7 separate regions of the Mus musculus genome follow, and all the other regions are reported to be linked to region 6. The links are microRNA targets in miRTarBase. Many come from high-throughput screens and were not tested one by one. Region 6 holds a microRNA gene; each other region holds the end of a gene's coding sequence. Distances are from middle to middle.

The links. The annotated mature microRNA mmu-miR-3473c reads UCUCUCCAGCCCCCAUAAUAAG and lies in region 6 at 2,594-2,615, opposite strand. An mRNA with a match to its seed (bases 2 to 7 or 8) in the 3' UTR can be bound and repressed. Matches are read on the target gene's strand: a 7mer-m8 pairs with bases 2 to 8, a 7mer-A1 pairs with bases 2 to 7 and ends in A, and an 8mer does both.
Region 1: miRTarBase lists Nol11 as a target of mmu-miR-3473c. Seed matches in the 3' UTR shown: 8mer at 3,491-3,498.
Region 2: miRTarBase lists Dcaf12l2 as a target of mmu-miR-3473c. Seed matches in the 3' UTR shown: 7mer-A1 at 563-569.
Region 3: the mRNA of Riok2 is a reported target of mmu-miR-3473c. Seed matches in the 3' UTR shown: 7mer-A1 at 1,505-1,511.
Region 4: the mRNA of Slamf8 is a reported target of mmu-miR-3473c. Seed matches in the 3' UTR shown: 8mer at 2,871-2,878.
Region 5: the mRNA of Dqx1 is a reported target of mmu-miR-3473c. Seed matches in the 3' UTR shown: 8mer at 911-918.
Region 7: the mRNA of Cnr2 is a reported target of mmu-miR-3473c. Seed matches in the 3' UTR shown: 7mer-m8 at 540-546 and 8mer at 2,680-2,687.

The regions. Positions count from the first base shown.
Region 1 is chr11:107,163,613-107,167,726 of GRCm38, forward strand. It overlaps Nol11 (nucleolar protein 11), which reads right to left. Exons shown (of 18, transcript NM_133702.3): 18 at 3,039-4,029. The coding sequence ends at 3,913. Gm11715 (predicted gene 11715) reads left to right here. Exons shown (of 3, transcript NR_169178.1): 2 at 1,409-1,549; 3 at 3,102-3,513. Among named protein-coding and RNA genes, the nearest start is that of Gm11715, 8.3 kb to the left of the region's middle.
Region 2 is chrX:44,362,864-44,366,978 of GRCm38, reverse strand. It overlaps Dcaf12l2 (DDB1 and CUL4 associated factor 12-like 2), which reads left to right. Exons shown (of 1, transcript NM_175539.3): 1 at 1-1,522. The coding sequence ends at 378. Among named protein-coding and RNA genes, the nearest start is that of Dcaf12l2, 3.4 kb to the left of the region's middle.
Region 3 is chr17:17,392,798-17,396,912 of GRCm38, forward strand. Riok2 (RIO kinase 2) reads left to right here. Exons shown (of 10, transcript NM_025934.2): 10 at 658-2,102. The coding sequence ends at 822. Gm26873 (a long non-coding RNA gene) reads right to left here and starts at 3,896. Exons shown (of 2, transcript XR_003952270.1): 1 at 2,286-3,896; 2 at 1,052-1,392.
Region 4 is chr1:172,578,676-172,582,790 of GRCm38, forward strand. Slamf8 (SLAM family member 8) reads right to left here. Exons shown (of 5, transcript NM_029084.3): 5 at 2,702-3,830. The coding sequence ends at 3,769. Among named protein-coding and RNA genes, the nearest start is that of Slamf8, 9.8 kb to the right of the region's middle.
Region 5 is chr6:83,065,950-83,070,064 of GRCm38, forward strand. Dqx1 (DEAQ RNA-dependent ATPase) reads left to right here. Exons shown (of 12, transcript NM_033606.3): 11 at 141-331; 12 at 484-1,270. The coding sequence ends at 643. Tlx2 (T cell leukemia, homeobox 2) reads right to left here. Exons shown (of 3, transcript NM_009392.2): 1 at 3,731-4,115; 2 at 3,105-3,342; 3 at 2,376-3,025. The coding sequence ends at 2,809. Among named protein-coding and RNA genes, the nearest start is that of Tlx2, 2.2 kb to the right of the region's middle.
Region 6 is chr1:191,996,009-192,000,123 of GRCm38, forward strand. Mir3473c (microRNA 3473c) reads right to left here and starts at 2,626; the gene lies at 2,546-2,626. Traf5 (TNF receptor-associated factor 5) reads right to left here. Exons shown (of 14, transcript NM_011633.2): 13 at 3,790-3,960; 14 at 1,195-1,999. The coding sequence ends at 1,422.
Region 7 is chr4:135,917,349-135,921,463 of GRCm38, forward strand. Cnr2 (cannabinoid receptor 2 (macrophage)) reads left to right here. Exons shown (of 2, transcript NM_009924.4): 2 at 1-2,871. The coding sequence ends at 308. Fuca1 (fucosidase, alpha-L- 1, tissue) reads left to right here and starts at 3,378. Exons shown (of 8, transcript NM_024243.4): 1 at 3,378-3,802. The coding sequence starts at 3,456.

The DNA.
Region 1 (4,114 bases), not on the chromosome of region 6:
AAAACCCAATCTGGGTGGCCTGTGTGAGGTCATCTTAATCAAGTTGACTGATGCTGGAAGACCTTACTTGTGGGTGGGATCATGCCCTGAGCAGCAGCACTCATCTGTTTCCTGACTGTGGATGCCATGTGACCATCCCCATCACTTTCCTGCTGACCTCTCCACTGTAACACCAGGCCTTGCGTTGTGAGCTAAAATGACACCCTTCGTAAACAGGTTTGTCTTACTTCTCTGAGGTCTCAATGTAGCCTTGAACTCCTAAGCCTCCTCTCTCCCCTCCCAAGTGCTGGGGCTACAAAAGAGCACCATCATGCCAGGAGTATTTCGAATACTCCTAGAAGAGTAAACCTTACCCACTTTGGGCCTGGCACCAATTCTTCTTTTGTTGTTGTTGTTGTTTTGGGGGGGGGGGGCAGGGTTTCTCTGTGTAGTCCTGGCTGTCCTGGAACTCACTCTGTAGACCAGGCTGGCCTCGAACGCAGAAATCTGCCTGCCTCTGCTTCCCAAGTACTGGAATTAAAGGCGTGTGCCACCACTGCCTGGCTCTTCTGTATTTCTAACAGTATTTTTAGAATTATCACTCTAAATCCACTGACTGATGCCTTGTGACTGTCAGCATAGACTTGAGATGGACAGAGGAAAAGCAGAGCAACATGTTTCTATTTATTTGATTTTTGTGGTGTTGGGGTGTATGTACACTTGGGGTCTCATGCAAAGTGTACCACTGAGCCACGTCCCCAGCCCTAAGACTTCTTAAGGCTGACAGGCAAGCCAGGCATGGTGGTGGACATCTGTAATCCCAGCACCTTGGACATTATTGCAGGAGGATTTCAAGTTTGAGGTCAGTCTAGGCTATCTGGAGACACCGATTAATTAGCAAGTGAAACCCTGGCAGTCTCACATCAGAGCCCAGTATCCTTTGGAAAGCTTGCTGATTCAGTCAGGCTGCACTCTAGAGTTCTCCTTCAGCTGTGCCCAAGTACCAATGTCACTAAGAACACTGGCTTCAGAGATAGCCATGGGAATTCTGACTTTGCAGGTGCTCTCTTCTGAACAGGCAGGGTCTCTCTCTTTCACCTGATGTGGGTGGGCTCAGTTAGTACTCAGCGGAATAAGGCAGCTCCGACCCTACATGGATCAGAGTTCCAGTTTCTCCTTTTACTTTGAGAACAAGTAAACCAGGTTGGCCCAGGATGACCTAGCCCTCCTGCCTCTAACTTTGAAATGGTGGGATTAGTGTGTGCCACCATGCCTGGCTTCTGTGACTCTTGACAAGTTAATATTCATGACAGAAGCCATGCTCAAGTACAACTAAACCACAAGTTATAAAAAAACAAATATGAATCTATAAACCATTTACAGGGAATTGCATTTGCTTATCTTATTTTCTGGCTTATATGATTTACAGACTCGGCTGGAGGTAGCTTGGTGGTGAAGAGCAAGAAGTGCTCTCAGAGGCCCCAGGGTTGGCTCCCAGCAATCCTGTCAGGTGCTTCACAACCAATTACACATGGAGTAAGGACAACTTGTGCATGGCATAGAATCAGAGGTGAGCACATGGCAAAGCTATTTTTAATTATTTATTGATTGATTCTATGTATGTGAGTACACTGTAGCTGTACAGATGGTTGTGAGCCTTCATGTGGTTGTAGGGGATTGAATTTTAGGACCTCCGCTCACTCTGGTCAACTCAGCTCGCTCAGTCCCTGCTTGCTCCAGCCCAAAGCTTCATTTATTATTATACATAAGTTCACTGTAGCTGACTTCAGACACACCAGAAGAGGGCGTCAGATCTCACTACAGGTGGTTGTGAGCCACCATGTGGTTGCTGGGATTCGAACTCAGGACCTTCAGAAGAGCAGCCAGTGCTCTTACCCATTGAGCTATCTCACCAGCCCCCCCCCCCCCCGCCTTTTTTTTTTTTTTTGCTTTTTGAGATGGGATGTCTTCATGTAGCCCTGGCTGTCCTGGAACTCACTCTGTAGACCAGGCTGGCCTTGAACTCAGAAATCCACCTGCCTCTGCCTCCCAAGTGCTGGGATTAAAGGTGTGTTACCACTGCTTGGCAGCCAGTCTAGTGTTATTTTGAGTTCCTGGACAGCCAGGGTTACAGTGAACAAACAAACCCAAAACGTTTGTCTATTGTCAATCAGCCTATAAAGATTTTCTGATTTTCAGCCGAGCAGTGGTGGCACACCCCTTTAATCCCAGCACTTGGGAGGCAGAGGCAGGCAGATTTCTGAGTGCGAGGCTAGCCTGGTCTACAAAGTGAGTTCCAGGACAGCCAAGGCTATACAGAAAAACCCTGTCTGGAAAAACCAAAAAAAATTTTGATTTTCTTTTTTCTTCTTTTTGTTTTTTTGAGACAGGGTTTTACTTTGTAGACCAGGCTGGCCTTGAATTTAGAAATCCACCTGACTCTGCCTCCCAAGTCCTGAGATTAAAGGCTTGTGCCACCAAGCCTGGCCTAAGTGCTGGGATTAAAGATATGTACCACCACCGCTTGGCTTTTCTTCTTTTAAAAAATGATTTATTTATTTATTTATGTATATGGGTATTTTGCCTCCATGTACATTTGCACACCAGAAGAAGGCATCAGAATCCATTACAGATGGTTGTGATCCACCAAATGGATGCTGGGAATTGAACTCAGGACCTCTGGAAGTGCTCTTAAACACTGAGACATCTCTCCAGTCCCTAGAAAGATTTTCTAATACTTTTGTTTACTTTTTTGGGGGGAGGGTTTGAGACAGGGCCTCACTATGTAGCTCTTGCTGCCCTGGAACTCACTAAGCAGATGAGGTTGATCTTGAACACAGAGAGATTAGTCTGCTATTATTCCTGAGTGCTGGGATTGAAGGTGTGGGTAGTGTTTGTGGATGGCAGAGAACAACTCTTGGGAAACTGGCCCTCTCCTTCCCACTTCACATGGACTCCAGGGATCAACTCTCTAAGACAACAGGCTTATAGAGCTTGCACATATTTATCCACTGAACTCGCTCACTGGCCTCAATACTTTTTTTTTAAAAAGAGAGACATTTTCATTATTTGGTAATAAGATTTTATAATTTAAACCAATCTTTACCATATCCTTGTCACAGTTCATCTGAGACACCACGCTGGAACAGGGAATTTCTCAACTCCCGAGAAAGGAGAAGAGATGGTAGAAGATGAAAGATGAAGAAATGGCAGTAGGCACAATGCAGTATGCTGGCTTGGTGCCCTGAGTGCTCCATGATACAGATGACTGGGAACAGCTTCAGACTGATATACATTCTCCTTAGATCCACTCATCAGAGATGTTTTGCAGCTTCTTCATTTTTTCAAAAAAAGATTTATTTCATATATGTGAGTACACTGTCACTATCTCCAGACACACCAGAAGAGGGCATCAGATAACATTACAGATGGTTGTAAGCCACCATGTGGTTGGCAGGAATTGAACTCAGGAACTCTGAAAGAGCAGTCAGTGCTCTTAATTGCTGAGCCATCTCTCCAGCCCCTGGTTTTGCTTCTTTGATTGAAAGAAAAACTATTCAAAATGCATTGTAAAAAATTAGACACAAATACGTTTACTTAAAATCAGCTCAATTTCATGTTTAAAAAAACTTTCACAACATCCCTCCAGTGATGTCTGCAACCTAGAAGTGATTCTGTGGAACCCGCAGCACACTAAGGAGTGATGGTCTGTGATGGTCCAGGGACTCATATTTCTCTCTGGACACTGAGTGAGATGGGTACTAACAAATCTTTCTTCCCTGGACGAACAGGAAGATTCATATTAAAAAAAATATATATCCATCAAGTTAGGTGTGGTGGCCACACCTTTACTCCCAGCACTTTGGGAGGTGGATCTCTGAGTTCGCGGCCAGCCTGGTCCATATATCCAGTTCAGAACAGCCAGCAAGACTGTCAGAAGAGTTCCAGCACTTCGATGGAGTACAGTCCTCTACTGCTCTTCTCCCGATTTAATCTCTGCAGCTCCCGGAAGCTGACTGCGATCTTGTTGAGCTCGGAATAGATGGAGATCTGAAGACGACAAGGACCCAGAGTAACTGTGCTGGAACTCCACATACATCACACCTTCCAATCACTACTAGTGGTTTTTCCAAAA
Region 2 (4,115 bases), not on the chromosome of region 6:
CAGAACATCAAACCTTTGTGTTCCCGAGAGGGAGGCACAGGTGTGCGTTCTCTGAGTTTCTACCAGCACATCATCACTGTGGGCACTGGACATGGCTCTCTGCTCTTCTATGACATTCGTGCCCAGAAGTTCCTAGAGGAAAGGGCCTCAGCCAGTCCAGACTCTTTTCTTGGGCGCACAGGGAGGAAGCTCAAACTCACGTGTGGCAGAGGCTGGCTCAACCAAGATGAACTCTGGGTAAACTACTTTGGAGGTACTGAGGAATTCCCCAACGCACTCTACACTCACTGCTACAACTGGCCTGAGATGAAGCTCTTTGTGGGTGGAGGCCCACTCCCTTCAGGCCTCCATGGCAACTATGCAGGCCTCTGGAGCTAAAGTCACTGTGCTCTTGGGAAAGTGTATAGATTTATCTTTTAAGTTCAAACTTACATTCTTTGCATATGTGCTTTTGTGTAATATAGGTATGTGCATGCCTGATTGTGTGTGTGTGTGAGTGATTTATTTTCAAAGTGGAGTTGACCCAACTTTCTAGTGCTCAATCACAGAAGGAAACGAAAAAGGAGAGAGAGAGGAGGAAGAGGAACAGAAGGAAGAGACAGAGAGAGACAGAGATAGAGACAGAGAGAGAGAGAGAGAGAGAGAGAGAGAGAGAGAGAGATTTCTATATCCTCTTAGCAATAAAAACTTGCTTTGACTTGGGCACTTTCTCTCAGAGCACTACATTTTTGCTGTATCATACAAAAAAGTTTTAATCTTTTTTTTTTTGCAGTGATTTATGTATTTTCTTTCTTTAGGCGAATGTAGTCATTGCTTTCAGTGAATTCAGCACTAGAGTTTTACCAGCGTTCCAATAATTTTTTTCAAGTCATTTGAATAGTCCATGGACATACCATCTTGATAGAAGATGTTTTAAAATGTTTGTTGGCCTGATCTCAGAAAATATTTAAAGCTCTAATCAAAGTTTCTTTCTTTCTTTCTTTTTTTTTTTTTTAATGTACTTCAAGTTTTAGATTATAACTGTTTGGAGTGTCTTTCATTTGAATGTAGGAAAACTCAGTAGTGGATTTGAACATTGTGGGAGTATAAAATGGTTTAAGATGTATTATTTTATTTTTGGAATTATACAATATTGTTCAAACTACTAATCAACAAAATTTTAATTCAGAAAACATGAGCATAACCACACTTAGCCCTAAAGCCTTCTTTTTTAAAGTACTGTATTGTGACCTGCTTTCCTGAGAACCATTTATGTTAAAGATGTTCAGCGCTAATGAAATCTGACATAAATTTTCAGGATAATTGGAAAGGTATTTGGGGAATTAACATTTCCTGAACATTCAAGAAACACAGTCCAATTAGCCATTTGCAATGGTCAGAGTGAGTGCAGTTGATACTTGTATTGGGTACATATATAGTTATTTTATGTGGATCACTTTTTAGTATGTGATGTATTGTAAAAAAAATAAAAAAAAATAAAAATGTGTTCAGCATCATAATAATTAAATTAAGTTTAAAATGATTAAATGTGATTTTATATTTACTTGTCCTTCTACAAAGGTATGTATCCAAATCAAAATTTTCCAGGAGAGGAACCTTGGCTTCATCTATGCACACTTCATTTTGCACATTTGCTTTTTTTTTTTAAAGGAACATTTATAGATTAAAAGATAAATGATACTAGACATAGAGATAATAAATAGTTCAGACTTAAGAGCTTGTTCTATCATGTTCTTCCTGGGTTGCTGAGTTCTGTAAGTAGCATCCATATCTGAAAGTACATAACTGCTTTAACTCCAGCTTCAGGAGATCTATTACCCTCATCAGGCCCATGCAGACCACTGAGCACGTATGACAGACAAAATGAGACACACAAACATACACATGGACCATGTTTTTAAAAACTTCTGGATTCCTGGCCTCTGGCCATAGTTTACCACAAGGATACTTTGTATGTGTATGTACCACTTAGATTTTATGCATACCTAAGGATACCTGTGTATATGTGATTTACATATAAATGATAGAATGAACTCAAATATGTCTACAATTTTGTTAAAAAAATCATACATCTATAACTAATTTGTTTTTATTGTATATTATGCCATTATGTGGTTGGAATGTTTTAATTTTAAATAAGCATTATTGATATGATAAGTATTTAGCTGTATATATAATTTCACTCATCAAAGGATATGTACAATGAATTTCCTGAAATTAAATTTTTGGGGTAAATCACCTTTTGATGATAATTTACCTATGGAGGTCTACCTGAACATTTTCCACGTTTTATCATCAAATTATTGTATTCATCAGTTCTTGATACTTTCAGGGAGAATATGGCTAACTTCATGAGATTTGTAGTTATTGTAAAACCTACCTTCTAAAACAATGATTTAGAACATGAGGAATTAAGGGGAAGCAATAAAAATACTATCAGACAAATAAAAGCTTCACAATGCATACATGGAATTGAGTTACACAAGAGTACCTGTAATTATTTCAGTTTCCTTGTCTATGATATCATGATTTCAGTTATTTAAAATGAGTCATATGGTATTGAATGGACTCCAAGAACGATTTGGAGGTGAAAAAACTAAAAATGGACACAAAATTTGTGGCAACAAGTAAATGTAGAGGAATTAGCATAGAAGATACAAGTGAAAGCTGACAGAGTAAGCTAAGAATATTGAATTTGAGAAATATATTAGGATAATACATCCAGTGAAGAAGTGACTAACAGGATAAGATGTGATTTCTCAGTGTTAGGCAGAGATTACTGTGAAATGCTGGTAATTTATTATTTTTGGAGAAAAACAACACAAGTATATAGGAAGGATGTTAGAAAGGAATTGGGATGGAAGGTATGTAAGAAAAATGTAAGTGCCCTGTTTCACAAAAATGTTATGACATCCATCATGACTTCAAAAAGATATTTTTTTTCAATAGCTGTATGATAATTTTGTGTCTTGCTCACAGTTTTAAAGGAGAGTCTGCCTCCTAGTTAAACTCCCTAGATACTATTCCATATCTCTTTGAATGGCTCAGACTGGTCCAGAGCTGATACCTTATCGTCTTGAAGAATGTAAAATTGACTTAGATCTCAAAACAGGAATTCAACTTTCGTATTTCTCAGCCAACTAATAATATCATTGACTATTATACTTAATACTCACCACACCATCATCTCTAAAAACATAAAAACCATAGCAGCTTCCCAGTTGGATCATTACCTCACCACCTGCTTTGGTCTCCACATGCTGTGCTACCCTACCCTTTGCCTTGTTTTGCACACATTCACATGATTAATCTATATTCATTTCAAACATCAGTGCCACAAGACTGCCATTTTTCATAGCTATAAGAATAAATGAGCTATTATTAAAATGGTTATTTCCTCAGAATTACTATTTTCCTTAAAAATAAAATAAAATTATAACTTTATTTATGATGAAAAACATTAAATATAATCTATCAGCACATTAAAAGGAAATGTTACCACTTAAAAATAAAGTTAGTCTCTAATGTAAGTGTTTTTAACTCTGGAAAGCTGAAAGATTGGTCCGGAAAAGGGGCATGATTAATATTTACAAATGAGATATTTTAAGGTTATATGGATAAGACGATGAAGTCCAAAGGAAAAAGTTAAAGGAGTAGAAGGTATTAGAAAGTTACTATAATTATATATATATATATATGTATGTATATATATATATATATATATAAAGAGAGAGAGAGATGGAGTTTAATTTTTAATTATCAGTTCTAAACTCCATTATATCTTTTGTGATAAAATTTCTGGTGTCTATTTTTAAGGATGTTAATTAAAAGTGTTTATATTGGAAAAGTCCATGTTAGCACTATAATAATTAAGAAGGCAATTATCATACCAAAATTCTGACAGTGTACTAATAACCAGAAATTAGAGAGTATCTCTGACAGATAAAACAGAAATATGAACACAAACCTAAGATACAGTTGTAAGACCTTGGTGATAGCAGCCAGCATTCACAGACAATTCAATTCAAATGTTCAACTCTATACTTCCACATTGAAAGCAGGTCTGGCTTTTTAAAAATCAGGCACCAATAATAAAGTGTATATGTTCACTTGGC
Region 3 (4,115 bases), not on the chromosome of region 6:
AAACCAAAAGTCATTATGAACTGAATTTTTTAAAAAAACGTTTTCAGTCATGTGATTTGTACATATGGCATTTGTGGTTGTTAACTATGAGACAGTGCTCTGCATCTGCATACTCTGTGAGGACTTCCTATGCGTGACTGCCGCCCCCAGGCCTCTTCTCTGTCCCAAGCACCACAGGGCTGGCTACGTAATTCCAGCCTTTGGAAGGGCAGGCAGGGGCTAGAAGATCGAGGCCATCTGACTACGGTCCAGTTTAAGGCCAGCCAGGGCACCCAGGCTACAGGAGAGTTTACCTCAGGGAGGGAGGGAGCGAGCAAATAATTACAAAATCATGTGTTTTACCAAGACGGGTTTTTCCCCCCAACTCATTGTTCATAATGGTCACTAGGTGGCACTCTAGCAGTTGATAATTTAAACTGACCACTTTTGCTGTATAATCTGTATTTCTGGGAAGAATATAAATTTTAAAAACTTTCAACAGCTTCTCCTGTTTTATCTACTAGTTCATATAGTGTCCTTAGGATTCTTAAAATTCATCTTTAACATGTAAATTTGAAAGATACTACCAGTGTAAATCTTGGATAATAATTTGATAATGATTTCTCTGCTCCTTATCAAGATGGTTGTCAGTGATACTAATTCACAAGATCTTTGCAGGAACTGGTGAAGCAGAAGGTGAAGCGTCAGCTGACAAGGCAGCAGAAGGCGGCTGCCAGACGCCGGCTGCAGAAAGGAGAAGCCAATGTGTTTACCAAGCAGCGGAGGGAAAACATGCAGAATATTAAATCGAGTTTGGAAGCAGCCAGCTTTTGGGGAGACTAATAGATTTCTGATATGTATTATTTTTTTAGATGCTATAATTTTATTTTTAGCCAGTATATTGGTCTTTTTTGGACCAAAGCCAGTAAATTATGGAAATAAAGCCTCTTTAGACTCAGAGCTTCCAAGGTCTGATTAATAGTAAATCTGCCAAGCACTCTGTTTCTTAAAATTTTTCAGGTAACTAATTTAAATATAAAATAACGTGTGAAAAAAACTTCATTGGCAGTAATTGCAAAACATGGACATCATTTTTATTTCACTGTGATGTTCAGACTCTGCCTTAAACAGGTAGAAAAATGACTTGCCTCAGATTCTGGATTTACATGTAATAAATAATAGAACAACTTAATGCAATCTGTAGTTCTCTCTTTTCTCCTTCAGTCGGTCACACTTGGGCTTTTACTACATTGGTGAGTTGGCTTTAGGATCACCTGAGACAGTCAGTACACAGTTATTTGACCATTGGAGTGAAACTGATCGTCTTCTGTTTCTTTAGACTTCTGGAGTGGAGATGAATCAGTAATGGGTAGACGAGCAGCAGCGGGTCTTTTGGTGCCGTTCTCATTGGCCCTGTGGTCGTGGGAAAAGGAAGTTTAGGTTCCTACCAGTATTTTTGCAGTTGTCAGCTTTCCCCAGGTTTCAGCAGAAGTGGGGGGAGGGAGGGAGGGAGGGAGGGAGGGAGGGAGAGAGAGAGAGAGAGAGAGAGAGAGAGAGAGAGAGAGAGAGAGAGAGAGAATGCATGACTCCAGGATGTGTTCCTACCTCAGTGTTAACAAGTCTCTAGAACAACACTCTGGTGTGATTCATCCCTCAAGCGCATTCTAATTCAGTCAGTGGAAGTGAGTGTAAGTATACAAGCACTGTCCCTTCAGCTTCCCTGAGCAGATCTCGAATAGAAGATCGTCTTCAGCAAGAAGTGACCACCAGATGGCAGTGTTTGCCAGCAGTGACATGATAAAAACACCAGCTTCCCTTTTACCTTAGCAAAATTCATTCTGACTATTTGTAACTGATCACTATCTAAGCGCATTTAAATGTTTGGATATATGAATATGTCAAGTGCAGTTTCTTTGAAAATTAGACTGATTTTTGGAAGTGTTGATATAGCCCTGTTTTAAAATGTAGTTTAAGCTCAGATACTCATTTTTTATACTCTGCTAAAAGTGTTTCTATAACATAAACTGATGTTGAAGATAGTTTAATAAGACCACAGAATGTTTATTTTGTAATACGTTTTTCTTATGTCCAAAGCAGATTGGGAATAAAAGTGTTTGACCTCATTTTTCTTGGCTTTACTTCACTACTGCTACATAAGAAGCTTGTTTCTATTTGATTTATATGGTTTGTGATAGTGTCTATCAGAGTTGTGAAGACTAGATGGAAGAGGATTTGTGAAAAGGACTGGACACGTAACACAGTGGTAGAGTGTATTTTCATTTACTTTTGTATCACAAAACCCTTACCAGAGCCGGGGTGGTGGTGCCTTCCTTTAATTCCAAGCACTCAGGAAGCAGCCTGGTCTACACACTTTGAGGACAGCCAGAGCTATGTAGAAAGACCCTGTCTGGTAAGTAAATAAAAACATAGCCAGGCATGGTGGCAATCAGCAGGTAGATTGGAGTTTGAGGTCATCCTGGTCTGGAGAGTGAGTTCCAGGAGAGCCAAGATTACACAAACCCTGTCTCCAAAAAAACAAAACAAAACAAACAAACAAACAAAAAAACGCAAAGAAAGATTAATGTACTTTCAAATATGGTGTGGATTTATTAGGCTAAAATTACTAATATACCCCTTAAAGCTACTAAAGAAAATTAACTAGACTAACCATCTTTTCTATTTCATTAAACGCAAGCTGTGATCCTTTCTAGTATTATGATTTACACTGGGTTAGCATGGTTGAAGCCCAAGGTCAGTGTCCACCCAAACCAAAACATCTCTGTGAGAAGCTTTGCTTTCCACTTTCTTTAATAGTTGACTTCGTTCCCATTAAACAAGCTTTTTTCTATGCAACATGTAACTTATATTTGTGCTAACCTGGTATTGGTAGCCACTGATCTATTCAACATGCAGCTGGCTTTGAACTCCAGAACCATAGAATATTTAGAGGGTATTAATCATAGGGTGAGTGCAACTTAAAATAACTATTCTTTTTCGTCGCGTACTTGGTAAAATTTCTGACAAATAGCTACCCAATTAATATCTCTGCTGCTATCTCCAAGTTTAGCAGCCACCTCCAGGATAGGCAGAAGCCCATTATCCATGTCCTCTGTACCTCAGAATGTAGAGCATTAAGCTACATCTTAATTTGCCATTGGTTTGCAATATGTAATATTGTCTTAGCACAACTGAATTAACACCGTTGGAGGTTAAAAGTCAGTATCTAGCCAGGCGTGGTGGCGCACGCCTTTAATCCCAGCACTTGGGAGGCAGAGGCAGGCAGATTTCTGAGTTCGAGGCCAGCCTGGTCTACAGAGTGAGTTCCAGGACAGCCCGGGCTACACAGAGAAACCCTGTCTCGAAAAAACCAAAAAAAAAAAAAAAAAGTATCTAGAGGACCTCAGAGCTGTGTGATAACCAGGAGTATGGGGATAGTTCCAAAGCCCAGGAACTTAAAAAACTAGCGTCCTTAAGTCTTTTACCTCAATATTGTAAAGTATAGATAGTAATACCATTAAAACATGTTAAATTGTTTAAAATTAGACAGAGGAAGGAGTTGGTTCGTAGGTTAAAATGCTAGCTGTTCAAGCATGAGGACCTAAATGTCAATCCTTAGCACCCTTGTATAGGAGAAGGCAAGCACTGTTGCGTGTCTGTGAATCAGTGCTGCCGTGCTGAGGATTCAGAAGGAGGTAAGTCTCTGGTTCAGGCGGGCCAGCCAGGTTAGCCAAAACAGCAAGCTTCCATTTCACCAAGAGGAGCTCTCAGTAAGGTGAAAGGCAACAAAGGAAGACAGTGTTGACCTTTAGCTTACAACACACACACACACACACACACACACACACACACATTACATAACAAATTAGTATCAATGCACTTTCTTAAGTATACATCATAATACAAATTTGTTGCTTGACATGAGTATCATAATATATGCCTCCCCCCCCTTTTTTTAATAAAAGAAAGTGACTATTTAAACACTACTATAATTCTATGTAACCTCGATTAAGAGGTAAAAAAAATTATGTTATTCCTAGATCTGTTTTCCAAAACCTTGGTAGTGTAAAGCTACCAGGGGAAAGTACATGGGTTTTTAAGATAATAATTTGTAGTTGGCACATCATCTCAGACAAATT
Region 4 (4,115 bases), 19 Mb from region 6:
CTTCTCACCATTCTGGCCATTCTCTTCTGGGTGTGCGAAGTTTATTGTGTCTCCTTAAAAGTATAGATTCTAGAATGGGAGATAGCCATGCAGTAGAATATCCCCACTACCCACTCATATGCTCAGCATGCCACTCCTGGCGACTGACTATCACCAACACATAGCCCAAAGGAGAGACAGACACTGAAACTTTCACAGACCTGGGGAGGTTGTATTCTGAAATTTTGTAGGCTCCTCTATCAGGCTGCAGGCAGAACAGAAACAGAGAGCCAGAGGGTCAAGTCTGGAAAGGGACGGTTGTCTCCCCGAGAGATCAGTAAGTAACCAAGAGGGGCCTGTTCCAAGCAGGCACTATGTTATAAATATGGAAGAAAGGCTTGCTGGAGATGTCGCTGATAATTGCCCCAGCTCCCCTCAAAGCACTGAGTATTTATATCCATAAAGGAAATGAAGCTCTCTTTAAACAGATTCCTACAGGGCCTCACTCTGTAGCCCGGGTTTGCTTGGTACTCTCTAGGTAACCTAGGCTGGTCTTAAAGTCACAGCAGTTCTCCTGCTTCAGCCTCTCGAGCACTATGATTATAGGTGTAAGCCACCACGCTCAGCTGTATTCTAACCTTCTGTCACGTGACCTCTTGGTCTTAGCCCATCTTGCATTCATCCTTTCTAGAAAGGAAAATGCTATTACTGAAGACAAAGAACATGAGAGCGAGGAAGAGAAAGAACAGTCTGGAAAGGCTTCTGGCCTGCTCATGTGCATACTGAAAAATCCCCCAGAGAGACTGACTTCTTGACTTGCCAGGGCCCCCTCTGCCACCCAAAGTCCAAGGAGAGGAGGCTCTTCTTCTGTAGACCATGGGATCCTCCCCTGTTTGCATACAGCCATGTGGTCTCTATTGGCTGTGTGCTCCCACTTAAGGGCTCTGCAAGCTTGGCTAGGTGCTGGCGGAGCACTCTGTGCCAGTGCATGAGTCCTCCCCAACAAATGAGTACTCCCCAATACACCAGTCCCTAGCCTTTTACTCACTCCTTCTTCCTTCTCCCTTCCTTCATCCCTTCTCTCCTTCCATTCTTTTCTTTTTCCTTCTTTCCTTCTCTCCTTCTCTCCTTCCTTCCTTCCTTCCTTCCTTCCTTCCTTCCTTCCTTCCTTCCTTCCTTCCTTCCTTCCTTCCTTCCTTCCCTCCTTCCTTTTTTTTTTTTTTTGTTCCAGGGACTGAACCCAGAGCCAGGAAACACTCTACCACTGAGCCATTTCCCCCAGCACCTCTCTTCCCCTAACCCCCTTTTTTGAGACAAGTTTCTGACTAAGCCAGCCGGGCTAGCCTTGAACTTCTGCAGTCCAAGCAGGCCTTGAATTACCATCCTCCCATCTCAGCCTCCCAAGTAGCTGGGTTTCTAAGCTGGTACCACAAAGCTAGCCTGCCTGATTTTTGAAACAGAACCTGTCAGCATCTAGCATGGACTTATCAGCTTATTTATATGCCATTGAGCATAGACTCCGTGTAGGCAAAGGCTTTGCTTCATCCAAAACTGACTCCTTAGTGCCTTAAGGAGTTCCCAGCAGACGCTGCACCCGCAGTTCATACTTGGGATGGTGTAACTTTTAAAGCATCTTTCCCAATGCCTCTTAGAATAAGACTGGTCTCCCAGATGTACTTTGTGTTTTCCAGAGGAAGGGTAATAAGTCTGCTAGTTGACAAGTGAGTCATTGCGGTGTTTGTTTGAATAGCATGGGACCTGTTCCAGGAGGCCCTGGTAAAACCCACTGCAATACCACCGTCTTCAAGAGTCACCTCATGAAGAGGAGAACTGTGCTCTGATCCGAGGTGAGGCTGTGGGGATAGAGGGAGGGGAAGTGGGTGATAGCAAGCATTTTATCACCCCAGAACGACCATGGCCCACCACTCCATCCTTTTCACACGATGGTGGTTTTCCATGATTTGGTGAGAAAATGCCTATAGGTGGCAGGGAAGGGCAGCACAAATGGCTGGGTGGACTGGGCATGTGCATGCCACAGGAGGATGTTGGGAAGGGGATAGAAGAAAAGTGAGCATGGGATAGAGTAAGAATTATGTAAAGCCAGGGACCTCTGAGAAAAGCCAGCAAGGAGAATCCTGGGTAAGTAGAGAGGAGGTGTGTAATGTGAACATACAAGCCAGTGGATTCCATTTGTCCCAGGTGAAGTGACTACCTGTCTTGGCATTGGGGAGAAGAGGAAAAGTACCAGGGCAGGGTTGACTTCCTGGGTGGAGAGACTAAGCCACCTACGAAACATATTCACAACTACCCCTGCTTCTTCAAAGCCTCCTTTCTATTACAAAGGTCTGGATGGGGACCCAGGACAAAACCCATTACATTTGGATGGGAGTAAGCATGAACCTACTACTCCCTGAGGGAAAGTTCAACTCATTTAGGTTGTTTTGTTTTGTTTTGTTTTGTTTTTTTCCATGTAGCAGTAAACAGCCTAGATGCTTTCAGGACAAAACCATTCAGTACAGGACACATCTTCCAATGTGGCCATATATTCTCTATGGTATATGTCAAAGTGACCTTTGATGATACTACAATTGAGTGGTAGGGACTTTGTCTCTCCCCTTGGATATGGGTGGATTATCTCCGCTTGCATCTGAATAAATATAGCAGATTCTAAAATGTCTCAGTATTCATCCTCTCTATAGTTCCTCCCGTGTAGCTTTTTTTTAAAAAAAGGTTTATTTATTTTCTGTATATGAGTACACTGTAGCTGTCCTCAGTCACATCAGAAGAGGGCATTGAATCCCATTACAGATGGTTGTGAGCCACCATGTGGTTGCTGGGAGTTGAACTCAGGACCTCTGGAGGAGCGGTCAGTGCTCTGAACTGCTAAGCCATCTCTCCAGTCCCTTGTGTAGCTTTTTATGGCTCTTCATTCTCCCAGTTTTAGGAAGACAGACTTATTCTGAACTTAGCTGTTTCTCTTGAAGTTGTGGAAGAATTTCCTACTGGCTGGGTCAAACTCTTTGTTTTTGTTTTTTCTGACAACTATGTAGAATGTATGGAAAAAGCTTGAAACACCACCCCAGATATGCAGGAGACACAAGAATTAATGGCAACAAAGGTGTCTATTAATATAGTGCTACCAGAAAAATGGCTTTGATCCCAACATGGCACATTAGCTACCAACCCCTCATCATCTGTAATCTCAATTTACTTTTGATGGCCCTTGAACTCAGATAATCTTAAAGTCCTTCAGACCAGAAAGAGAATGCCCCACCCTCCATCATTTCCTGTTCTTTGCCTTTTCTTATAATAACATCTTGAACACAAGGAACTCAGACCCCAGGGGCTGGAGTTGGAGTTGGCAATGGTTAGCTCAATTTCCATGTTAGTTCAAACATCTCATCTCTCTTTGAGCCAAGGTCCTGGCCTGGAGGCCGTCCCTTGGTGGCTGTTGGGCAAGACCTTATGTACAGTGATAGAAGAATGGATGCCTTGGATAATCAATGTCTCTGTGGATCCTAGAGAAAGTCCTGTGTTCTGAAGGAAGCATCCTACTAGTTCACCTTGCCCAGAGAGGATCCGGCATGTGCGAACAGGATGGAGGAAGGAGGAAGTTTGGGCCAGGGTGACGTTCCAGGATGGTGGTTTTCTTGGCTGTCCGCTAGAGGCAGGCCGACTTGTGGCAGTTATGAGGATCCTGGAGGTGTCCAGGTGTGGAGCATCACGTGGCTGAGCAGGGCATCTCATCATGGTCCAAGCACCAGTTTATGTTGTCCCTCATGACATCCTCTATACGAGGGCATTCTCTGTCTCTGGAAGCACCCCGTCAGTGCAAGCATCCTTCTTCTTCCCTGATGAGGAGATCAGAGAATTAGCCCTTCAGCGTTTAGAGTCTTGGCACACCTGGCACCCAGCCTGAAGCCTCTGAACACTGAATGTCCTGAGCCCAATCACCCCTTCTTATGTCCTAAAACCCTGGAAGAGGAGATGTTTGTTAAGAACAGGACCTTCTTCTTAGTGTGTGCACGGCATCTGCATCCATGCCATGAGTTAGCGCCACGATGTGCCTTGTTAAAGGACAAACAGTCGTGTGGCAGAGCTAGATCAAGCCTCTGGACACTCTGTGTAGAGGTTTT
Region 5 (4,115 bases), not on the chromosome of region 6:
ACCTCAGGCTGGCCTCTAACTTCTGCTCCTCTGGCTCCCAGATGCTGGGATTCCTGCCACGCCCAACCTTGGCCTTCTTTATTTTCTGTGCTCCATTGCTTATTTTACTTATTCCACCCATGTTTTTGTGTTTCAATGAGGTGGCCCGAGACACAGATGGGACAGGAAATTATCTGCTTCTCACCCATAAACACGTAGCCCAGCTGTCTCCATACTGCAGCTACCGAAACCGCAGGACTCCAGCCCAGCCACCCACGTGGGTGCTGTACCACAGCTTCTCCATCTCGAAAGACAACTGCCTTTGCATTGTCTCTGAGATCCAGCCTGAGATGTGAGTTTCCCTCACTCATACAGGGCCCTTCTTCTCCCAGGGCCAGGAACCAAACTGGGGAGTGAGATGTAGGAAGAGGGTTGGTGGAAGCAGGGCGGGGAGTGAGGGGCAGGGGAAGGCACAGATGATCCCATCCTGACTTTCTCTGTCAGGCTGGTGGAGCTCGCCCCTCCATACTTCCTGAGTAACTTGCCCCCCAGTGAGAGCAGAGACCTCTTGAACCAGCTGAGAGAAGGAACAGCAGAGCCACCAGCAGCAGCGACTGAAACTTCCTCTCCCCAGGAGTATGGAGATGGCTGTGTTCTGCAGTGAGCTAACTGCCTAAGGAATGGAGCCAAACCTCATCAGAGAGCGCCAAGGCAGTCAGACTTAGAGACCCAAAGTGTAGGGTCAGATATACTCCTGGAACCCAAGAGCCAAGAACTGTTAGGAGTGGGGGAAGAGAGCGCCACAGTTCAGAACAAGCATACTTTTCTTCTCTGTCCATGGACATGGGAGCAGATGCCACTCACCCCACCCATGCGGCGCCTCACACAACCTTGTCTCCTTGGTGAGACTATAAAAGACTTTGGTGGGGGGTGGAGAGATGGCTCAGGGGTTAAGAGCACTCACTGACTGCTCTTCCAGAGGTCATGAGTTCAATTCCCAGCAACCACATGGTGGCTCATGACCATCTGTAATTGGATCCAGTACCCTCTTCTGGTGTGTCAGCTACAGTGTGCTCATATACATTAAATAAATAAATCTTTTTTTTTTTTTTTTTTTTTTTTGGTTTTACGAGACAGGGTTTCTCTGTGTAGCCCTGGCTGTCCTGGAACTCACTCTGTAGACCAGGTTAGCCTCGAACTCAGAAATTCACCTGCCTCTGCCTCCCAAGTGCTGGGATTAAAGGCATGTGCCACCATGCCCATCTAAATAAATCTTTTTTTTAAAAAATGATTTTTCTATGATGCCAAGTTTGATTTTTAGTTCTGTAGTGCCATATACAACATCCATGAGTCAGAGGTGACACAAAAGGAAAGGCCGACTTCTGCAGGTGCAGCCTCCTGCCTGCCTCCGCCCAAGCCTCTGTGCTGCTATATCTGTCCCTAGCACAGAGCATCCGTGACCTGGCTACCACAGGTCTGTGTCCCGTCACAGTGTTCTAGCCTCTGCCAGGAACAAGAGGGGGACAGTGGAGTGAGGCGAAATCTCCCTGTTAAGCCAGAGAGCTTTGTAACCATCCTCCACTTAACCAAAAGCCTGCGCCCTCTGACTCACCTACAGTCTGCAGTCTCTCTAATTTTTCATTATAGTTTGTGTGTGTGTGTGTACACCCACAACACATGTGCAGTGGTCAGAGGATAGTTTGTAGAAATCAGTTTTCTTCCACAAACTTGCCCCTAGGGCTCAAACTCAGATTGTCAGGATTACTGCAAGTGCCATCTCCTAAGAACATTCCAACTTAAAGCCGCCATCCTTCACTTCTCCCTAACTCTTTCCCTTCTGCCCTTAGTCTACTCGAATTTCTGAATCCACCACCATCCTGCACATCATAAATGTGTTTGTAGAATACTGTGGAAAGAAAGGCTCAATCCATGTAACTCCCCAGAGTTCCCTGTGCCTTCCCGCCTTTACCAGGAGATCTTAGACCCAAAATTTCATCTGTCTCCACCCCCTGTGATGTCATGGAGATTCCCCCAAAGGCAGGCATTAGCATTTTTTTCTCTCTCTCTAAATCTAACATTAGTTTTGCCTACTGTTAATCTTGCCCCCAGTTTCCCCTTCCTGGCCTACACATCTCCAGTCTTAAGGTCATCTTTGGTTCTTCTTAGGTTTGCTAGTCCCAAAGCATGTCTCTTGCTCACTCTAACACTGGGCCCATGAATTCTCCACCGGCTCCCCATCTTGGCTCTCTGACCCTGCATGGCACGGGAGTCAGGTTCTCTTTCTAGAGTGTATCTTCTGGGTATATAAGAATCTATCTTACCTATAGCATAAGTGCGTTAAAACTCAAGATGGAGAGTCCGCAGATTGGGCAGGAGACAACTGGAGACTGAGGCTAGAAGGAATCCTTAGTTATTGTTTTACAGATGAGGGACGAGGTCCCTGTCACAGTAGGCCACATTCTCTACTGCCAGCGCCTCTTCCATTACCCCTCCCCCGCTGTCCTTTGATATCTGCCTTTACACCAGCTCTGTGGTCCCTTCCCAGCAGGACCTGAGCTCTGAGCCCACTCAGGGCAAAGTCGCAGCCTTGCAGGGTCCCTGCTTCATCCACAATCCTGCAGGTTGCTCTTGCAACCCACATCTCAGCGGGGTTTTTTTTTTTAAACAAAACAAAACAAAACCTTGAAGGGCGGAGTCAGAGTGTGGGCCAGGGGCCACTGATGACCAAAGAGCCTCAGAGGACGGCCGCGGGCCGCGGGCCTTCTGCTCCTCACTCTTCGCTGGCGGTACGGCACCCGGCCACGTTGGCGCTCGTCGGGCAGGTGTCGGTCACACCACCGAGGCGAGCCCGGACACCGAAGCCACCTTGTTGTCTTCCGCCCAGGGCTGCAGATTCTGCAGCGCGAAGAGCGACGAGTTGTGCAGGCAAAGCGGGTCCGGTGGCAGCGGTGGCCGCAGCGGCCGGGGCAGCGCGTCTTGCTGCAGGTGCAGCAGCAGGCGACCAGCGCGGTGCCGCTCGGCCTCGCGCTCCTCCGCGGTCTGGCGCCTGGGCGAGCGGAGAGCCGGGGTCAGCGGGCGTCCCGGTCCTACCCCGCCACTCGGCCCGCCCGCGCCCCGCGCCTCACCGCCACTTGGTGCGTCGGTTCTGGAACCAGGTCTTGACCTGCGCGTCCGTCATGCGCAGGGCCTTGGCCAGCGCCGCCCTCTCTGCGGAGGCCAGGTACTTCTGGCGCAAGAAGCGGCGCTCCAGCTCCAGCACCTGCGAGCGGGAAAAGGAGGTGCGCGGCTTCTTGCGCTTCGGGGGGGTCCGGTTTTGGTAGGGATGGCCTATGCGACGTGTCCCAGAGAAGGGCGAGAGCGCAGCTACGGGACGGAAGAGCAGGGCAATGTTTGGGGGTAGTCCGAGGTGAGACTGAGAAGAGAGTCCCTAGTCCTTATCGGGGTTCCTCCCCCAACCACAGAAGCCTCATCAAGAAAGGGCTTAGGAAGAATCGGGGTCCTCCCAAACTTCACCCTGCCCCTCCTCGCCGTAGGCACGGTGGGACTGCAGAGGCAGGGGTGCATGCACCCGACGACAGCAGCTCTCTCCTTACTGCCTCTCTGCTGTGGGACCGAGAACTGTGGGGTCGGGGAGGGTCCACGCGGATGAACAGAGGGGAGAGATAACCGGGCAATGGGGTTGGAGCAGAAAATGGAGAAGCAAAGAAATGGGGTCGCGGGGGAAGGACACCGAGGGGTAGGGCAATCTCACCCGTGAGCCTGTCCTTTGCAAAGCGGCGGCCGCTGTCCATCCAGGGGAAGGTGAGTCCCGCTAGGCCCCCGGCGCCACCCAAACCAGAGGGTCCGGGCACGGCGGGGGCCGCACCCGAGGGTGGCGGCACGGGCAGCGGGCGGTGCGCGGGGACGCGGATCACGCCGCCGGGGCCCACTCCCGAGCCTCTAGGCAAGGAGGCCAGCGAGCCGGCTGGAGCATAGCCCGAGGCTCCGTGGAATCCACTGGAAAACGCCGCACTTTCTCCGTGGCTCTGGCCCGACTGACCGGGACCCAGACCGCCCCCCGGGGGTTCGGGACCGCTCAGGATCTGATCGATGCCGAAGCTGATGGGTTCGTGGTGCGGAAGGTGGTGCGCAGCCAA
Region 6 (4,115 bases):
CCCAGGTTCTGTCTCTTACACAGGTTAAGCGCCATCTACAAGAGCATAGCCTCCCCTGTGCCTCTAACGTGACCCTTGTCCCAGGACACTTGTCCTTCCGTGCTTAGGAGCCAATGTTACATGAGCAGTGGAGGATGGCACGGATCCCATTTTCAGTCAGGGCAGGAGGGCAGATCAGTCTGAGGCTTACTGAGCTGAAGGGACAGACAGACCCAAAAGACCAGCGGGTCTCAACCTTCCCAAGGCTGTGACCCTTTAACGCAGCCCCTCATGTTGTGGTGACCCCTAACCATAAGATAATTTTTGTTGCTACTTCATAACTGTAATTCTGCTACTGTTATGAATGGTAATGCAAATATCTGTGATTTCTGATGGTCTCAGGCAACCCCCGAGAAAGGATCATTTGACCCCCAAAGGGGTCGTAACTCACAGGTTGAGAACCACTGCAAAGACAGATCTACAAGAACCCGGTCATTTCTGCTCTCAGAGCACTCAAAATGTTGACAGGAAACTCCGCAAGTTTCTACAAATGCTCATTTTTTGGTCAGCATATGAATTTAAAAGTTCTTCCAGAAGAACAGAAGGGTTCAGACAGCTGCTATCCATGGTGAACAGGTTCCCCTTTTGTCCTTTTCTCATATTTTTCTCTGTCATAACAAATTTGCTCATCCTCACACCCACTGCCATGCAAAGGTCACCTGGCTGAGTTGTGTGAACTGGTATAGTTGACAATTTTACCTAAGAAAATACTTCTCACCTGGTCAAACCTAATGAACTCTGAACTTTCGGTTCACTAAACATCCACTCCTTGGCACCCATTGTGTTAGTGGAGAAGGACGAAGAGCCGACCCATTTCCTAGCTGTTATACAACTTGGCAAACTGTGCTTACATGCAGCTAGTGGATCCTGTATAAAACACAAAAGGGCGATGCGATTTCCAAGCGGTTGGCATCTCCCTGAAGATCTGTGGTCCAAATGCAGCATATGTAGCTACACTGCCCACACTTGACTGGCACAGCCTGCCTGTCTCTTACAAGATGGCTGCTGCAGGCCTAGGCTCAGGTGTGGAAGCACTGAGTCAGCTGATAAATGACAACGAGTGTCAGTGGGAATTCTGCCCCTGTATCAGTCCCGTTGAGCACTGGACTCCCTGAAAACACTTCCCAGACTTCAGTGAGAGAGAGGAGCCCCAGGCCTTGTTGTCAAATTATTATAATTTTTTGGAAGATACAAAAATATAAATAACAGCAATATTTCAAGAGTTTAAAGTTTCAAACCAGGGAAGGATCCAAGATAAAAAGATGACACATCAGACATCGGAGGCAGGAAGACAAGAACAAGAGCCTGCTCAGTCCAGAGGGCTGCGCCCAAGGGACAGCCACACCTTTTCCTGTGCTGAGAAGTTTCCTTATCAGGTAACACTACAGATCCTCCAAGTCAGTTAAATCCACGGCCACTTTCAAGAACAGTGTGTCGTCTTTAATGTAGGTGTTCTTGGAGTTCTCCAGAGTAGAGTGCGACACAAAGCGGGGACAGCCAGAGGCAATGTTCATCTCGCCATCTGGCCTTTTGAAGCTGCTGCTGTTGGGGTCAGCTTTGAAGGTCTCCACAATATGGTTCTTCTTGCCGCTCTGGTCCAAAAGCATCAGGGTCACCCTCTGCCTGAACGGCCACTGCAGCAGCGAGTCAAACTCACCGCGCATCACCACAAAGTACAGGGACAGGTGCGTTCCCTTCCCCGACCCGTCCCCGTTCAGGTACGCCCTGGCACAGAGCCGGTAGCCGCAGCGGCTGGTGTAGAAAGGCTGGCTGAAGACGGACACTGTGTGCCCCTCCACGGCCTCCCTCTTCTTCACCCTGTAATCTGTCACCTTCCAGATGAGCTTGCCACTGTAGCAGGCGCCCTCCAGCTGCTTAAACCGCTCTTCGTTCTTATTCAGCTGTGCTTTGTGGATATTAATGTGTGCGTCGTGCTTGCTGGTCTCCCCCTCTAAAAGAACTGGAAGGAAACACAGGACAGGAGGCTGCAGCTCGGGCCTGTCATCTGAGCACTACCTGTGAACTACTACATGCATTGCTAACATTAACTCAATCGTGGTAAGCTGACGCCAAGCAGACATGGATGTATCCTCCCTCTTCACTCTCAGCTTGCCTGAGTATAAGACACATTGGACATTCACCTCGAGTGAATTCTCATGCTGAGCCTTGTGCCCGTCTAACTGTGTGTGTTTGTGTGTGTGTGCATGCATGCACACGAGTGTGCTTGTGATGTAAGTGTCTGTGCATACTTGCATGTGTTTGGCTGTGAGGTGCTTGTGGCATACAGAGGCCAGAGGTTGATACTGAGTGTCTTCCCCAGTAGTATTTCAGTCTTTTGATGTAGTTCTCTCACTGAATTAAACCCTGATATTCTGGCTAGCTTGTCCTGGAGATCCTGTGTCAGCCTCCAGAGTGCTAGGACCACAGGTAGCCCTCCAGTCCACTCAGCAATCACATGGCTACAAGGATCCAAATTCTAGGTCATGTGTGCAGCAAGTGTGTTATCTACTGAGCCATCTCCCCAACTCCTATAATGAATTTTACATTTAAAAGACTTATTATGGGGGCTGGAGAGATGGCTCAGCAGTTAAGAGCACTGACTGCTCTTCTAGAGGCCCTGAGTTCAAATCCCAGGAACCACATGGTGGCTCACAACCATCTGTAATCAGATCTGATTCCCTCTTCTGGTGTGTCTGAAGAGAGCAACAGTGTACTCACATACATAAAACAAATAAATAAATATCTTTATAAAGTCTTATTATTATTGTTATTGTTGTTACTGTTGGTGGTGCGTGCGTGCGTGCGTGCGTGCGTGCGTGCGTGTGTGTGTGTGTGTGTGTGTGTGTGTAAGTGAAGGCATGTACACCATAGTATACATGTGAAGGTCATAGAACAACTTTCAATAGTTGGTTCTTTCTCTCCACTGTGTGGGTTCCAGAGATCAAACTCTGGGTGTTATAGTTTCAATGAGTTGTGTGTCCTAAGTCCTAAGCATTGGAATACTTGGTCCCCAGTTGGTGGGTTGTTTGGGGAGGATTAGGAGGTGTGGTCTTATTGGAGGAGGTGTGGTCTTGTTGGAGGTGTGGTCTTGTTGGAGGAGGTGTGGTCTTGCTGGAGGAGGTGTGGTCTTGTTGGAGGAGGTGTGGTCTTGTTGGAGGAAGTGTGGTCTAGTTGGAGGAGGTGTGGTCTTGTTGGAGGAGGTGTGTCACTGGGCTTGGGGTTTCAGCAGCTGCTCCAGTGCCATGCCTGCCTGCCTGCTGTTTCTCTATGAGATGGTGGTAAATTCTTATTTCTCTGCAATCATAAGCCCAAATAACACTTCCTCCTACAAGTTACCTTGGTCATGGTGCTTTGTCACAGCAACAGAGAAGCCACTGATACACTGGTCATCTCGATTGCATAGCAAATCACCTGCTAAGCAATCTCACTGGCCCCAGTGCACCAAAGCCTAAGACACCCATCACCTCTCTCCCTTGTTCTTAATGATTACCACTCCCAGCTCTTGGGACTGCCTGGGCCATTTCAGTCTCGTCTGACTCCACACACATGGTGGAGACCCTCATTTTCTGAGGCAGCTAGAATCTCATGCTGCTTCACAAACAGGATTCAGCCACTGGGCAACCCAGAAAGCTGGTTGTGACTTGTTAGCTTCTACCACAAATGCACACAGACAGGGAAGCCATGAGAGGGAACCCGACTGCTTCATACACACACACACACACACACACACACACACACACACACACGTACCTAATCTCTGGTCACTGGCTTCCAGCTGGGTGATCCTCTGTTTCACGCTGTCAACCGCATCCACCAAAGACCTCAGATCAAGTCGACTTGGCTGCTGGTTAACTATTTGTAGCAGCTGCCGCACCTGCGCTTCCAGCCAAGCTGACTTGTCCGTGTGACTGGTGAGAGCCTTGCGGTACAAAAAAGAGAATATGTCTTGGAAACGAGACATCGGATTTGTAGCGTGTTGACTGAATTTTAACACAAACATTTCACATAGAATGATCCACTCATGAAATGGAAGTGGCAGTGTCCAGAGAGGGGGTTCAGTGGACATGGCAGAGTCA
Region 7 (4,115 bases), not on the chromosome of region 6:
CTCTGGGCCTGGTGCTGGCTGTGCTGCTCATATGCTGGTTCCCTGCACTGGCTCTCATGGGCCACAGCCTGGTCACCACGCTGAGTGACCAGGTCAAGGAGGCCTTCGCCTTCTGTTCCATGCTGTGCCTTGTTAACTCTATGGTCAATCCTATCATTTACGCCCTGCGGAGTGGAGAGATTCGCTCTGCTGCCCAGCACTGCCTGATAGGCTGGAAGAAGTATCTACAGGGCCTCGGACCTGAGGGGAAAGAAGAAGGCCCAAGGTCCTCGGTTACAGAAACAGAGGCTGATGTGAAAACCACCTAGGAGCCAGGATCCAGAACTCCAGGCTGCTCCAACTGCTGACACCACCTGTCTTTCTACTGGAAACAGCCCGAGTCAGAAGTCCGTTCAGTTCACTCCCTCGAAGAGAGAGGGGTTCCAGACCCGGATTCTTTCTGAAGCCAGTTCTAGGGTAATGGAAACAGATCCCCCTTTTTGCTAAGGAATGCTGGTTGGCTGGAAGGTGGCCTGGTCATGCCTACCTTTTCCAGTCTGTGGAGAGGGGCCTGTAAGAATGGCAGGCTCTGTTCATATCAAATCAGGAAAGCCTTCTGACTCCAAAGACCTAGAGGCCAGAGGGGCCTCCAGAGATGATACTAAAGGATTCAGGAGATCTGTGAAGACAAGGGACCTGTTCTCCTGGAATCTAGAGTACCCCAGCCGTGGGGCCACTGCCCTCAACTTCATAGATGTCCATGTCTTCCATAGTGTGGATTCTAGACTGTCCTGCTGAAGATAGAGAGACCAGCTGCTTCTGGTTCCTGCTTCATCCTCTGTGGCTGTAGAGCTATGTGAGGCTCTACCTTCAGGTCACCCTTGCCTCTTGGGGGTCAAGAATTATGATGCCCTAAGGACCAAGGATGTTCGCTTACATCCTTCAGACAGCGTCAGGAGCTGTCAGCTCAGGGTATCCTGTTGTTGGGAAAGGGCCCTCCCGACATCCTGATAAGCCTTGAAAGCCATTATGACCTTAGGTCCTTAGGGGCGCAGAGGAAGCTGGGTTCACTGGAGGTACAAAGTCTTCAGAGAACTCTATTCCTTGTGACATTTTGCTGTGTCTCACACAGCACTATCCCAGTCTTGCCTAGCTTCAGTACAAAGCAAGATATTCACACAGATTCTTTGGGTCCTAGGCTGTTCCCAGTGATGCTTGACTCAGCCCCACTGGCCTCTTCCACACTCTGGTCCTGAAGGATAAGCAGAAGGAGTTGGGAGGGAAGACTTCCTGCTGCAAACCAGGCATCCTAGGTCCACAGCCCCACGCTGTGTCTCTGGGTGCCTGCCTTTGCCCTTCAGTAAAGGTTGCAGTCCCAACAGATGGAGGTTCAAGGCGCTGCTGGTGGTAGGAGGGGTAGGTGGCACTGGGGACCACAGACACAGTGAAAGGAAAACTCTTAAACATTTAATACTTTTGCTTTTAGAAGATCCGGCCCGCAGACAGGACTTCCCCATTGCCCAAAGGAACTAACAGGGTGGTGTCCAGTGCAAAGAAAAATCAGCCTCCCTAATAAAGCAAGGAGGTCCACTCGGCTCTACAGCCTCTCCTAAGCTTCTGCAAGGTGACAGTTTGTTTTCTCTGTGAAGGTCAACGGCGTCTCATTTTATTCTTCCCAAGACAAGTTCTGTGCATCAAAAGCTGCTGCAAATTCTAATCGCTGTTTGGGAGGATCAGGGGAAGAAGTCGATTCGCCCACGCTTAGTGATTTAGACTGTATTTCAACATCAACTTGGGGGAGGAAGAGACAGAAAAGACACGGTGTTTCCTTATTACTCCTCAAAGGAGGAAGTGCTTGGTTCTGTCAACATAAGCCGATCTCTCCAAGGTGCCTGACAGAGGAGGAGGGAATACAGTTTCCACAGCTGTGAATTCCTGCACCAGCTTTGGTCCACACTTATGTGGTCTTGATCAACCCCCGCCCTTTACCTTGCTTTGGTTTCCTTCTCGGTAAATTGGGAATGGTGGGGAAAACAATGCTCTCCAGGGCCATTAAAACCTCTCATTGCTCTAACATGCTGTGGTTATCTCTGCAACCATGGAGACCTTTGTGCCATATGGACCATGTGACTTCTGGCTCCCATACTTCCTGAAGTTATGGGCACACACCATATACCATTGGGCGTGTGCTGACTGTAGAGGAATTGGGTGACTGGCCATATGAGTTTTAGAGATTTTCCCAGGGCAAGAGGGTTCTCTTGGCTCTCAATTTTTCTGGTCCCTCATGCCTCAGTGGTCCCCTGTGTGTGGGTCAGGCATGCTTGTTTAGCGGTGCCAGACTGAAGCTCCGGCCTTCCGGTGTACCAAGCAAGTGTTGTACTCCTGAGTCAGGTTTTCTTCAGTTAGATGCTAACTAAGCTCTCTGAGAGACCCTCAAAGTTTTTGAGGTGTAGCTCAGTCAGTAGAGTGCTGCATCTGCAAGAGCAAATCTCTGGGTTCAAAGGTCAGTACTACCTAAAACCAGGAATGGCAGTGCCATCCCCTACCTGTAATCCCAGCACTCCTGAGGTACAAGCAGGAAGATCAGGAATGCAAAGTTACTGTAGCTGTAAGTTCGAAGCCAGCCTGAGCTAGTTGAGACCCCCTTACCTCAAAATAAATTTAAGTTACAATTCTAAATTAAATTAAAATGTCTAGGGCTGGAGAGATGGCTTAGTGGTTAAGAGCACAGACTGCTTTTCCAGAGGTCCTGAGTTCAATTCCCAGCAACCACATGGTGGCTCACAACCATCTGTAATGGAATCTGATGCCCTCTTCTGGTATGTTTGAAGAGAGCGATGGTGTACTCATATACATAAAATAAGTAAATAAATCTTTTTTTAAAAAAATGTTTAAGTTCCTCGGAGTTCTTGTTAAGTTCAACGGACAAAAGATAGACTAAAATAACCACGTCTGCCCTTAATCTTTCAGCAGCCATTTCTCTCCCTCCGCATAAAGCTCCTTCTAACCTTGTTATTTCTCAATCTCTTCGGCAACTCTCCAATCTGCTAAACTCCACCTGCTGGCTGGAGGTATAGCACAGAGAACCCGCGGCTCCTAAATAGTCACTAAATAAAACGACCTGGCTTCAGCCTTCCCCTGAAGATTGGTGCAACAACGTGGACTTCTCCCAGTTTTCCCCACACCTTGGGTCTTTCTCACTTGCGGGGAATCCGGCAATTAAATCCTTAGGCGAGTCTACGGAATTTAAATTCAATAGAGCAGAACCAGCAACGCCGCCTTAAGTCTTTCTCCCTTCCAATGCCAGAGGGCGCTCCAGAGCCGCAAGCCTGACCCCACCCCCTCTCCTTCCAAGCCAATCGTTACTCTGAGAGGCGGGGCTACTCGCCGGCGCTTGCGTGTTAAGAGGGGGGCGGTGCGGGCCCGGAAGCAAGGATGTAGGAGCTGAACTTGAGTGGTGGGCTGTGGACTCTGGGATGCTGCTGCTGCTGCTGCTGCTGCTAGTGGCTGCGGCCCAGGCAGTGGCCCTGGCTCCGCGCCGCTTCACTCCGGACTGGCAGAGCTTGGACTCGCGGCCACTGCCGAGCTGGTTCGATGAGGCCAAGTTCGGGGTGTTCGTGCACTGGGGGGTGTTCTCGGTGCCCGCCTGGGGCAGTGAATGGTTCTGGTGGCACTGGCAGGGCGATCGGATGCCGGCCTACCAGCGCTTCATGACAGAAAACTACCCGCCCGGCTTCAGCTACGCCGACTTCGCACCGCAGTTCACAGCGCGCTTCTTCCACCCGGATCAGTGGGCCGAACTCTTTCAGGCTGCCGGGGCCAAGTGAGTGCGGGACGGGCGCGAGGCGGGAGCAGGCAGGCCATAGCCGGCGCTGCCTGACCTCGGAAGGTCCAGGACCCTACGTTCTGCATCTCGGAGGAAGGACGCTAAAGACGAGAATCCAGCTGAGGATCAGTTAAAAAAATAAATAAATAAAATAAAATAAAATAAAATTAAGGCGGGAAAGCACTGGGTGGTACACCTGTGCGGAGAGAGACTAGAATCAGGCTACATCGGTGTCTCGTTTGAAAGGTCCAGAACACAGCCCAGATTCCCGTCGGTGGCCCTGAGTTGTAGATCTGACCAGTCCCCTTAG